Linked DNA regions of Alligator mississippiensis. The protein of the gene in region 3 interacts with the protein of the main gene of each other region in a pairwise test. Links are inferred from orthologs where the notes say so. Each region holds a gene or a part of one and is shown on either strand. Other genes may lie near its edges. The genes, in order: BANP, RAD51D and C6H1orf94.

Region 1 (3,747 bases), on a different chromosome or scaffold from region 3:
AGTTAAAAATACGAGACCATGGAAATGCTGATAAAAAGAAAATGCAGATGTTCTGTGATTCCACCTCATTTTTCATGGGCAAGTGTTACTCAGCTTGAAAAGTTTGGAGAAAATGATTATTATAATAAGGGCTACAGACAACCTACATGATGCCAATACAAGTCACTGCAAATGTGACTTAGATAGTTGAAGCATACTAAGTGATCATGGCAGAATCAGAACATCGACAGGATGCCTTTTTGGTATGTGTGCATGTACATACATACCCTCCCCACACACACACCTTGTATGCTTCAGAAACACGTTACTGATGTCCATGAAACATGCGTTGGGATAAAATAATTAAAATTATTTTAAAAAATAAATTAAAAAATAATTTAGCAGAATATAAACTGGTGGAATACTGGTGCTAAACATCTCAGACAGTGAATTAGCATCCATTGGATTTCTGTAGCACTGAGTGTTAATAATAGTATTACTCGTTTAAGGAACCTTAACATTTTAGGTCTGCATTGCAGCCACCTGATAAACATTGCTGGATCCAGACATTAAAAGGCTGTTACTGTTATTATAAATCAGAAATCAGGACAAACAGCCAAAAATTATGCCCACTCCTGGAAACAAAAAGGATGTTCCCATTCATCAAAACTGGATTCAATCTTTTAACTGCCCTAAACATTTATCATGTCATTCTTCTTGACGTGCAGCTCGGCATATTACCCAAGTCTGAGCTTCTGGCCAAGGCAAGGCCTGGCATCCTTACGGAAGTTCACTGCAACGTCTCAGGACCAATTAAGAATTGTTCATTCTGTTATATTTTACAGGACATTCATTTAATATGCAGTGAAATAAATTCATGGTGTGAACAGAAACTATTAAAAGTACGCAACTGAAAACACAAGCATTCAGGGCTTAAAGATAATCTCAATTACTATACATGCACCCATTGATAGATTTGTGATTGCACAGGGCATTTTACACAGCAAATGTTTCTCTCCCCACCCTCCCCGCTTTACTGCATATGAGACTAACAGAAATATGGGAAATTAATATATATATATTTGCACTTCAAAAGGGATGTGGCCAGCCTGGAGAGGGTTCAGAGGAGGGCCACCCACTTGGTGAGAGGGCAGCAGGACAGGCCCTACGAGGAGGAGAGACTGAGGGACCTGAACCTGTTCAGCCTCAGCAGGAAGAGGCTGAGGGGGCACCTAGTGGCTGCCTACAAGCTCATCAGGGGGGATCAACAGCAAATAGGCAGAGTCCTTTTCTCCCCAGCACCACCTGGGGTGACGAGGAACAATGGTCATAAGCTGATGGAGAATAGGATTAGGGTAGAGATCAGAAGGCAATATTTTACAGTTAGTGTGGCCAAAATCTGGAACCAACTTCCCAGGGAAGTGGTCCTCGCCCCTACCTTGGGCAAATTCAAGAGGAGGTTGGACGATCACCTGTCTGGGGTCTTGTGAACCCAGCATTCATTCCTGCCTGTGGCAGGGGGTCAGGCCAGATGATCTGTTCAGGTCCCTCCTGACTCTAGCTACTATGAAACTATAAAAATATAGATACCTACCTATCTAGCTCACTCTCTCTATAGATCTCTAGGTAGACGTCTAAGTGGATGTCTAGGTAGATGTCTAAGCAGTATCCAAGCGGGTGAAGGTGTCTAAGCAGATATCCAAGTGGATGAAAGTAGATGTCTAGGCAGATGTAGATAGATATCCAAGTAGATATCTACACACACACACACACACACACACACACACACACACACACACACACACACACACACACACACACACACACACACGTTAAACTCAGTAAACTGTAGAACTAAAGAAGTAACAAACTGCAGACAAAATAAGCAAACAAAATGCTGTACTTCCCCCCCAGGAATAACCAAACAAAAACACTTCTCAACAGGACCTGTCACTGGGGGGAGAGACAGGACACGCACGCACATGCACACACAAACAAACACACAGCTTTCAAAAAAATGAAATTTACAAGGATTTAAAACCTACTCCTGCGAAAACCCTCCCTTAAGGATACAAAAAATGAAAACACACCCAGGCAAATTAGACCCCCCCGCTCTCGCCTCCCCACCACTAACAGAAGGACACGGCTTTGATGAGAAACCTGCTCGTTTTGACCACATCACAGAGAGAAAAAAAAAAAAAAAAAAAAAGCACTTCAAGAGTCCAACGACACTTCAAAGTTGGGGGGGACGGGCATGTATCCGGGTGGCTCAGTGCAGGGACCGGGGCGGGGGGGGGCACCTCAGCCCATTTGTCCGACCCCCACCCCCTCCTTACAGCTCCCTCTTTATAAAGAGATGATGTATAAATATATAACTTTACATCTTTACACCCCCACCCCCTTTATAAAGATATAATATATAACTTTACATATTTATAAAGGGGGGGGTGGGAGATATAATATATAACTTTACATATTTATAAAGGGGGGGGGGAGACAAAAATTGCTGACCAAGCACCAAAAATAATTTTAAAATATAACTTTACATATTTATAATGGGGGGGGGGGGGGGGGACACAAAAATTGCTGACCAAGCACCAAAAATAATTGTAAAGCCCGCCAGGCGGTAGAGAAGAGCGCCCCCCCCCCACGTCGCCCAGTGAAGGCCCCCCCCCGAGGAAAGCCCAGGCCCAGGCGCAGGCCCAGCGGGCCGGAGGCGGGGGGGAGGGGGGAATGGTCCGCCCCGCCCCTCCCCCCGCCTGCATGGGGGGGGTTGTGAGGCAGCCGCCCCTCCCCCGCCGCGGGCCCTCCCGGAGGCGGCGGGTGGAGGCGGGGAGCGGCGGGCCGGGCGGAGGGCGGCCCCCGGGGAGCCCAGCCCGAGCCGGCGGCCGCGGGGGCCGCGGTTACCGTGTGCGGGGCCGAATTCTCGTGGTGTTTGTCGAGCGGCTGCGATAATGGCGTCCTTCCTCGCGAGAGATCTCCGCCGCGCCAGCGCGCATGCGCCGCCGCCACCCGCTCCCCCTCCCCGAGAGGCCGCGCAGGCGCGTTGCCGCCGCTTCCCGGCAGCCGCCCTTCATCGTCCCAGTGACTACAAGTCCCAGAGGGCCGCGCGCGCCGCCTCTTGGGTTGTACGGCTGGGACGTGTAGTCCTCGGGCGGGGCGCGGGGCATGCTGGGCGCTGTAGTCCGAAGGGCAGCCCTGTAGTTCCTGCAGCCTCAGTGACCTGATCCGATGCCTAGCCCTATACACCAGCCTAAGGGATATATCTGCAAGTTCTGCATCATCCAGATTTTTTTTTTGAATGACAAATATACAAGCAATACTTGATTTCAGGGGTTTAGGTTGTAGCTGTGTTGGTCTAAGGACATAGGCAGACAAGCTTGCTTAATAACTATTCTCCAACCATTTGGGTTGGTCTAATAAAAGACATCAAATTCATCCAAGGAACCTTGTCTGTACTTGATTTCAGACATTCACGAGACGACCAGTCTAAGGGATAAATCTGCGAGTTCTGCATCATCCAGATTTTTTTTTTGAATGACAAATATACAAGCAGTCCTCGACTTCAGACGTTTCGCAAGATGACCAACCTAAGGGATAAATCTGCAAATAGTGCATCACAGCCAAAAACCCTTCAAAAAGTCCAACCAAGAGCCCTTCAAAAAGTCCAGCAAAGTCACCTCAAAGAAGTCCTTCCAAATCAATATGATTGCTATTTACAATAGAAAGACATTAGTGTAGTTATATTACTCATCTATAAGTGATTGA
Region 2 (3,747 bases), on a different chromosome or scaffold from region 3:
AGTCCAGAGAGCAATGATAGCAGTGGCAGGGGCTGGCAGTGGGGGTCACTGCCTGCTCCCTTGGAGCAGCACTAGCAGCCAAAAGTAAGCTGTGAGGCAGCAAGGGGGATGAATGGGGATTTGGCTTGCAGGAGAGCAGCGGACCCATTCCAGGGGGCAGCAGGCCAATCATGGCTGGTAGAGGACAGGGGTGCTGATTCAACTGGGGTGAGGGGCCAGGGGGGCAGTGGATCCAATCCAGGCCACCAGGGGTGGGGGAGTGTTCACAATAAGCTGTAGCCTAGAGTGGCTAAACATAAGTGTAATGTGACCTGGGTAAGATGGATCAGAGCTCAATCTAAGCTGAGGTGGTCCATTTTTAAGCTGTGCTGCTTAAAGGGTGCTTAAAACTAGTTTCACATGTTAACGTGTGGACAATGCTGGGGTTAAGAGCTCCAGGAGCTACCTACAACTGACAAGTAACAAGGCCCTCAGTCACTTCTCAGAGCCACCAACCCCTGCTGAGATCAGAAGTGGAACCGGGTGTCATTATGCTCCCTGGGGACAACTGCCTTACCCGTTCCCCAATGGCAGCAGGGATGAGGGTGCTGCACCAAGAAGGAATGGCCTAGCAGAAAGTATAACTTCAAATATCCAAGATATGCCAAGCTTCCAAATACTAAAGCAGGGGTGGGCAAAAGGTGACCCGTGGGCCGGTTGCAGCCCACCAGGCCATTCTATCCGGCCCATGGTGCCCCTAAAAAAAATTAGAAAATATTTATTTGCCCCTGATGGCCTGTCTTGCAGCCCTTGATGGCTTGCCAAAACTCAGTAAGCGGCCCTCCTCCCAAAATAATTGCCCAGCCCTGTACTAAAGTAACATGTTCAAGGTCAGGAATTAGATAGGCAGATCTGGCTGCCTTTACAGCATGGGGATTTTCATAGTCCCCGCTACTGCTGTGTGAGGCATGAACCACATCCACTGTCCTGTCCCTTGAAAGCAATGTTAGACTCTGAGCCAGCCACCAAGGCGCACAGAACATGCTGGGACCTGGAGTAGCTTCCTAGGGGCTGCCCCACAGCACAGACCATCAGAACAGGCTCAGGGGTCCTAGGAAGGGGGAGAGCCCTCTGCCATTCCCAATTCATCCCCCCCTGGGGGGGGGGTGAGTCCTGCTCTGAGACTCTGGGCTGCCTTTTACCTGTTCGGATGCCACTGGCTTTCAGAAGCTGGATCATCTCTGCCGTCAGACCAGGACAGAGTCCTGCCTGCAGCATCACCATGGCCCTGCCACGTGCCCAGGGGGGTAGGGCGCAGGAGACGGGAGGCTGAACACCATGCAGACACGCACCCTGCACAGAAGAGAAGAGGAGGGGTTTGTATCCAGCAACGCGGAGGTGCCACTGGCCTTGCCTTGTCCCACCTTGAGAAACAAAGACGTGGCCCGCACCAGGAGCTCCGACCGCGGTAGATGCCTGCCAGGCCACTCTGCCCCAAATTGAAGAGTCCCTCTCAGAGCCTGGTCCAGGAGCCTAGTTACAGGCTTGCTTAGTTAGCTCTCCTGGCCCCTGCAGGTGGTCGCACATGAACTTATTCGCGGTGTACTTTGCAGTAGCATCTACAGGTGCCAGTCAGGGATTGGGGCTTCCCTGCACCGGGGTCCTGAGAAGTCAGCACTCGCCCCCAACTCTGAAGTGGGGAAAGGGCTCTGCACAGTCCCACGATCCGCGTCTTTATATCATCGCATCTGGGCCAAGTCTGACAAAAAAAAGCGGAGAGCGCAAGCCCCTGCCCCTGCAGCAGTCGGGCCACTGCAACCCCACGGAAAGCCCGGGCTGCCTGCGGGCAAAGCGCCAGCCCCCGCTCACCTCGCTCCGCAGGGCTGGGCGCGCAGCGCAGCCAGGGCCGCTTCACGCCAGTCAGCCCTGCACAGACACCCGCCAGCCCAGCGCGCAGGGAAATCCGGCTCGGCTCCGCGGCCCCACCGCTCGCCTCCATCCGCGCGGCACCTCCTACTTCCTGCGCCTGCGCCTCCGCCTCCGCCCAGCCCGCTCCGGGGCCGCGACCGGCTCCCCCGCGCGGCGGCTGCAGAGGGGGCCGCCACAAATCCCAGCCCCGAGAAACACTGCCCCGTCCTTTCGCTGCCCGCTCGGCCGTGCCCGGATCTCGCTTCCACTAGGCCTGCACGTGCGACCCCGGAGCACCTGAAAGACGTGAATTACTCCCGTTTGCTAATCCTGTTCCGGTTGCTACTGGCACAGTCTCTCCCCAGAGTCACAAGGCTCCTGATCCTGCCTTCAGAGCCGGGTGGGTGAAGTCCCGTGAGCCCCTGGCTGGTGGTAGGACTGTGGCCTACAACTGAAAGGTATCAACAGCTTCCCCCAACTCCTGGTTTTGCCACCAGTCTGTTTTCTTCGGTGGGAGTTTTTGCGCCCTTCCACTGCTCGGCTCTGAAGTCATTGACCCTGCAGCAAATTCCCCAGCAAGCAAAGGGTCCCTCTGCACAGAGCTCGTTTCAAGTCACACGAGTTGCTCCACTGACTCACATGAGGCTGCTCATGCAAGTAAAAATAACCACATGCATAAAATCAGAACTGGAGTCTGTTCCCTCCTTGCTGGGCATCAACAAGAGGGTAAAAAAAAGCCTTTCACAGCTTTTTGTTTATTAAAACTAGGACCCAGTGGATTATATTAGAAACAAGCATATATACAACTCATGAACACCTTCCTTCAGATCCTAGAGCAAAGGTTGTGTAACAAGGAAGCTGCAGAAACATCAATGATTGGAAATAGAACTGAACTTGGTCTCCGACTTAAAAGCACCAGTTTCCAAGGCTCAGCAAAAGAACTAGGGGGTGTGGAAAGCCAGCTCTGCTCCCAGATGGGATACATCTCTAATCAACCCCTTCTCCTGGCAGATTCTCCTTCCCTAGCGGGTGATGAGCAGGGATCCAGGTTTTCTGTTTCCCATGGAAAAACAGAGAAAACCACAGATTCCGTTTTTATCAGAGAAAACGCAGATTTCTCTTTTTAGCAGAGAAATCCAATTTTGCAAAGAGCTCTTGCAGGGTGGCACAGCTCCAGCCTGCAAGAGTTGATTTGCAAAAAGGGTGGGAAACCCCCAGCCTTGGCTGGAGGGGAAGGAGAGGGGGGAGGGCAGGACCTGAGCCTCTGAAGCAGCCAAGGCCAGGCTGCGGATCTGACTCAGACTCGCCCTTCACCCCTGGAGCATGGAGGTAAGTGGGGCTGTGAGGCAGGACTGGGAAGATGGTTGGGGGCTGAGAGAAGGGGGTGCTGCCGGCCCCAGGCGGCACTTTGCAGCTGGGAGCAGGGCCAGGGGGTGAGGGCAGGGGTGCCCCTCTGCAGGGAGGCGTTGCGGGCAAGTGACATGAGGCATGGTGTGGTGGTACCTGCCATATGCAGGCTACACACATGCTGCCTGGGGGAGGAGAAGAGGGAGGCTGGCATTCGGCCAGAGCACAGCTCCATGGCCGATTCTGCAACCACAGCAGGAACTTGGGCTTGCACGCGGCCGCCACTGCCACTTACCTGGAGGTCCGTGATGGTGGTGACAGCCCCTGCCTCCAAAACCTCCCACTGCCGCTGCGGTGCTGTGCCTGGAGCTGTGCAGCCAGCCGCCAGGTGGCAGCAACAGCATGGTGGTGGCCATGCGGCATGCAGCCACCAGCACCCTGCGCCACCGCAATGTGCCGGCTGGGGCTGGCAGCACCCCTTGTTCCCTCAGCCCCCAGCCCTGCCCCACAGCC
Region 3 (3,747 bases):
GGTATGAGAATCTATAGTCATCTGCCTATATGCAAATTGATATCAAGGTTAGCATTTTCAGATTTGCCTCTCACTTTTGCATGTGTTTAGAGAGAGCAGTGTCTGATGGTAAGGGGTTTCAGGGGGAAGAATTTGGGGGGCAGAGGGCAAGGGGGCACTTTATAGACACACACACACACACACTTATTTTCCCTGCTCTTGCAGTAGGAGGTGGACAAATTCAAGTCGCATCTTCAATAATTAGTTTCTATACCTGGAAAATTATTATTGGGGGGATCATATTCGAGTAAATTAGGTACTTGAAAGACCAGTTGGCTGTTTGTAATGAAGCTTCTGTATGCTAGGAGCTGTACAGACATAGAACAAGACCAGCCCTGCCCCAAAGAGCTTACAGTCAGATAGACAAGAACAGAAATGACTTGCTGAACGTTGCCCAACAAGTCAGTGATAGAAGTATGAGTAGAATACAAATCCTATGGGACCAAGGCTGGTACCCCATTTACTGGACCCCACTTTTCTTTTCTTTCTTTCTTTTTTTTTTTAATGGATAGAAAATGAATGTGATGGGTCACCCCTGTTCCTAGGCATCTCCCATCATACGCTGTACCCTCTGGACAGCCCGAGATTGCAAATGCAAAAGGAAGAGTATTGCGGTATCCTCCTGTCTCCTCCCTAAGTGTGACAAATTCGGTGCAACTGCGTAGCGCGTGGGCAAGGAATTACGAAAGCTGGCTGCACTTGCTGTACCTGCTACATCAATTATAAAACTCAAAAGTATGTTTCTTCTAAAAATCATTTCATTTCTTAAAAATGGGGTTTTTCATTAAAATTCAGATGAATATTTCATAATTGCATGTAGGGTCTTGTACTGCCCATACTAATGGAGCATCTTCCAGGAGTGCATTATTGAGATGTACATGTTTCACATGTCCATAAAGATGTCTGGGCCCAGTTCTGTCATGTCATCTATGTGCTGGTGTGACTCAATTGACTTCAGCAGATGCTAAAGGAGAACGGTGACTCAATGTGCGATACCGTCTACAAAGTCCATACTGCATTTTGGATAGAGAAGGAAACGATGCGGAAGTTGGGACTCTTGGCTTCGAGTCCTGGATATACCACTACTTCCCTGTGTGCCATTGATCCAAATACTTTCCTTTTATTCCTCAGTTTCCCTATCTGTAAAATGGGGATGGTGGTACCAACTTGCCTCTTTGGGAGGCATCATGAATTCTGGTATTAACAATTATTTACTGCATCAGATTAAGATGGACCAGGTCTGTACAGCTGTTACTGGTATGTTGTGTTTTTGTTTAAGACCTGGGAAGTTGCCAACATGAGCTAATTAATTGCTGGGTTTGTTAATTTGACAATTTTTTTTTTTCCTGCTGCAGGAATGTACTATAAATATTGTCCTTTTTAATTTAAAGAGTGTACCTTCTTTCCTCCCCACAACTTACCCTCTGGAGCGAGACTTGGCAGAGAATTTTTTTTCTGCCAAATCCAGCTTTTCTTTGTAAAGATCAGCTGTTTACAGTAGTTTCCTTATAACACTTTAATTTTCGGTTCTGCTCTTTTGAATGCTTCTTTTGCTTCTTCCTGTAAATATTTTGATTTTTTTTTTTTTAAAGCTGCTGTGGGGAACTGAATGCAGCAGCTGCTTACTGTGCTTCAGAATTAGATGTGGCTAGACATCACAGGACGTCATTTTGCATAGAGAAAAAGGATCCTCTTCAGCTTCTGTGATTTGGGCTGTGAAAATAAACCCCTTCTCAATCCTCTTCCCCTCCCACCCACACCTCACCCCCTACCCCCCAATTTCTCTTCTCAACCATGTTGAAAGAACATTTCATGTATTTTTATGCCGGATCCCAACCTGCTGTGGGCCACAAAGCATAAGAGGGGGGAGAAGCCATTTGAATTGGAGAGGGGGTGGCAATTTGAAATCACTCACTCTTGGGAGGCCCTGAGGGTCTCTGGCGGCTCTGGGGGGCAGGTAGGCTGGAGGAACAGTGGTGATGTAGGCTGGAGATCTTCGGAGAGACCTTGAACCCTCTTCCAGATGTCATGGCAAGCTTTGTCCAAGCTGTCCTGAGGAGTGTTGTGGTGGATCCAGATGTGCCGTGGGAACGGCCCCAGAGGGAACGGCCCTTTGGGGCTTACTGTCGGACCCTGGGGCCCGTTTTCACCTGTGGGCATCTCTTCGTCTCTTTGCACCCAGAGACCGAAGGCCAATTTTTTTTCAAAGAAAGGTTTCCTGCGGGTACGGAACGGAATGAATAGCAACAAGCCGCGGTAGCTCGGTAACCGCAGAACCCCCGGGCCCGGCAACGGATATGAAGGATAACAACCAGAAGCAGCTGTCGAGGTCCCAGCAGCACCCACCCGACCACACGTAAAAGGGAACGCCAGGTCTTTTTAGGAAGACTGAGAGCAGCAGCCGCCGAGGCGTCTTGCAGATTCGGCCAGCCCGCATCTTAAAACAGCCCTGATTCCTCCCTTAGGTTGAATTAATTTCATATTGTATCCTGGTGCCCAGGGGGCTCCTTCATCCCTGTGGCCCTTGACATTTGTGTCTCTTCCCAGATGCCTATGTTGGGTCCCCTTCTTATCCTCGGCAGTATAGGCTGAAGCAAAGAGGTGGGGTGGGCATGCAGGGGATGCTAGAAGAGACAAAGGCAGGAGGTATGGATGTCCTGTAGTGCCTTGATCTCTGTGGGGGGAGCAGTGCGTCTCCCTGGTGCTCCTCACTAACCTCTAAGCCCTGGATTGCGCCAGGTCCTAGCAAACAGTGGGGTCCAGTGGAGAGCCCTTTGGCATGAAGTCCAACCTACGCTCTGCGCTTGGCTTGGTTGCTATTTGAGCTTAGACAGCCAATGTAACCCTCTTTACTGCTCCTCTTCCCCATCCAGCTGTTTGTCTGTTTTGGCGATTTTTTTGGATTCTTCTGATTTGTCTGGGACCAGGACTCAAGTGCTAGCATAATATCACTAGCTGTTCCTGCCATTTTCTCTTACCATCGCTACAAACCGGTCCAAGGCATCCTTTCCCTTGTCTTCATTGAGTCTTTTGCATGCTTGGAGCCAGGAGTGGAGCATCTCTCCCACTGTCCTGGACTGTGCAAAAGAACTAGCTCCGATTCTTTTTTTTTCTTGGCGTTTCCAGCGGAGCTGGAGATGTATACAAGTTAAAATGGGTTTACTGCACATGGCTCCTGCTGTTTAGGTTGATGCATTTCCACAAGATAGACTGGCTCCTTGCAGAACTGTGCGTCTTTCTACAACTTCCCCTCCGTGGATGCGGCTAATGGTATGGCGGGGGAACGTGGGGCATCTATTTCCCCTTCCACTTGCCTCGAAATTCAGGGAAGATGTTGCTGGGAACTCAAGCGTTTATTATGGTGTGACCAATAGAGTGTCCTTTGGTTCTCATGGATGGGTCTGAGCTATGACATTTTGGAGCTTGTCAGCATTGATGAATATTTGCTTTGTTTCTTTTTAACACTTTTCCTATGCAGCACCAGGCACTAGCCATTTACAAACACAAGATACTGGAACATCACTTTCTATTTTAGTAATATGCTGCCTTCATGCACTAGCCATTTTTGCCCTTTACTAGCTCGGATGTTTGAGTGATGTCACCCTTTGGTGCCTGGAGCACAACAGAAGAGAAAATCCTGAATTCTGGTGCTCCAGTGAAGATGACTATTCATCCTACATAGTGCGAGTCTGCATTTCTGGAGCAGAA

What was found.
Region 1: the proteins of C6H1orf94 (region 3) and BANP interact in binary tests that used the Homo sapiens proteins (3 or more experiments, as listed by UniProt). The two-hybrid records come from large-scale screens. The link is inferred for Alligator mississippiensis from reciprocal best matches to the Homo sapiens genes C1orf94 and BANP.
Region 2: the proteins of C6H1orf94 (region 3) and RAD51D interact in binary tests that used the Homo sapiens proteins (3 or more experiments, as listed by UniProt). The two-hybrid records come from large-scale screens. The link is inferred for Alligator mississippiensis from reciprocal best matches to the Homo sapiens genes C1orf94 and RAD51D.

The regions. Positions count from the first base shown.
Region 1 is NC_081833.1:74,478,750-74,482,496, reverse strand, and holds the start of BANP (protein BANP), read right to left. Parts: upstream 2,994-3,747; 5' UTR 2,887-2,993; intron 1-2,886. UniProt on the Homo sapiens protein: Controls V(D)J recombination during T-cell development by repressing T-cell receptor (TCR) beta enhancer function. Binds to scaffold/matrix attachment region beta (S/MARbeta), an ATC-rich DNA sequence located upstream of the TCR beta enhancer.
Region 2 is NC_081837.1:26,422,959-26,426,705, forward strand, and holds the start of RAD51D (DNA repair protein RAD51 homolog 4), read right to left. Parts: upstream 2,262-3,747; 5' UTR 2,185-2,261; intron 1,953-2,184; exon of another isoform or gene 1,849-1,952; intron 1,778-1,848; exon of another isoform or gene 1,431-1,777; intron 1,333-1,430; 5' UTR 1,264-1,332; coding exon 1,182-1,263; intron 1-1,181. Other genes in the region: UNC45B (protein unc-45 homolog B), read left to right, coding at 2,527-2,613. UniProt on the Homo sapiens protein: Involved in the homologous recombination repair (HRR) pathway of double-stranded DNA breaks arising during DNA replication or induced by DNA-damaging agents. Bind to single-stranded DNA (ssDNA) and has DNA-dependent ATPase activity.
Region 3 is NC_081829.1:7,532,172-7,535,918, reverse strand, and holds the start of C6H1orf94 (uncharacterized protein C1orf94 homolog), read right to left. Parts: upstream 2,262-3,747; 5' UTR 2,200-2,261; coding exon 1,955-2,199; intron 1-1,954.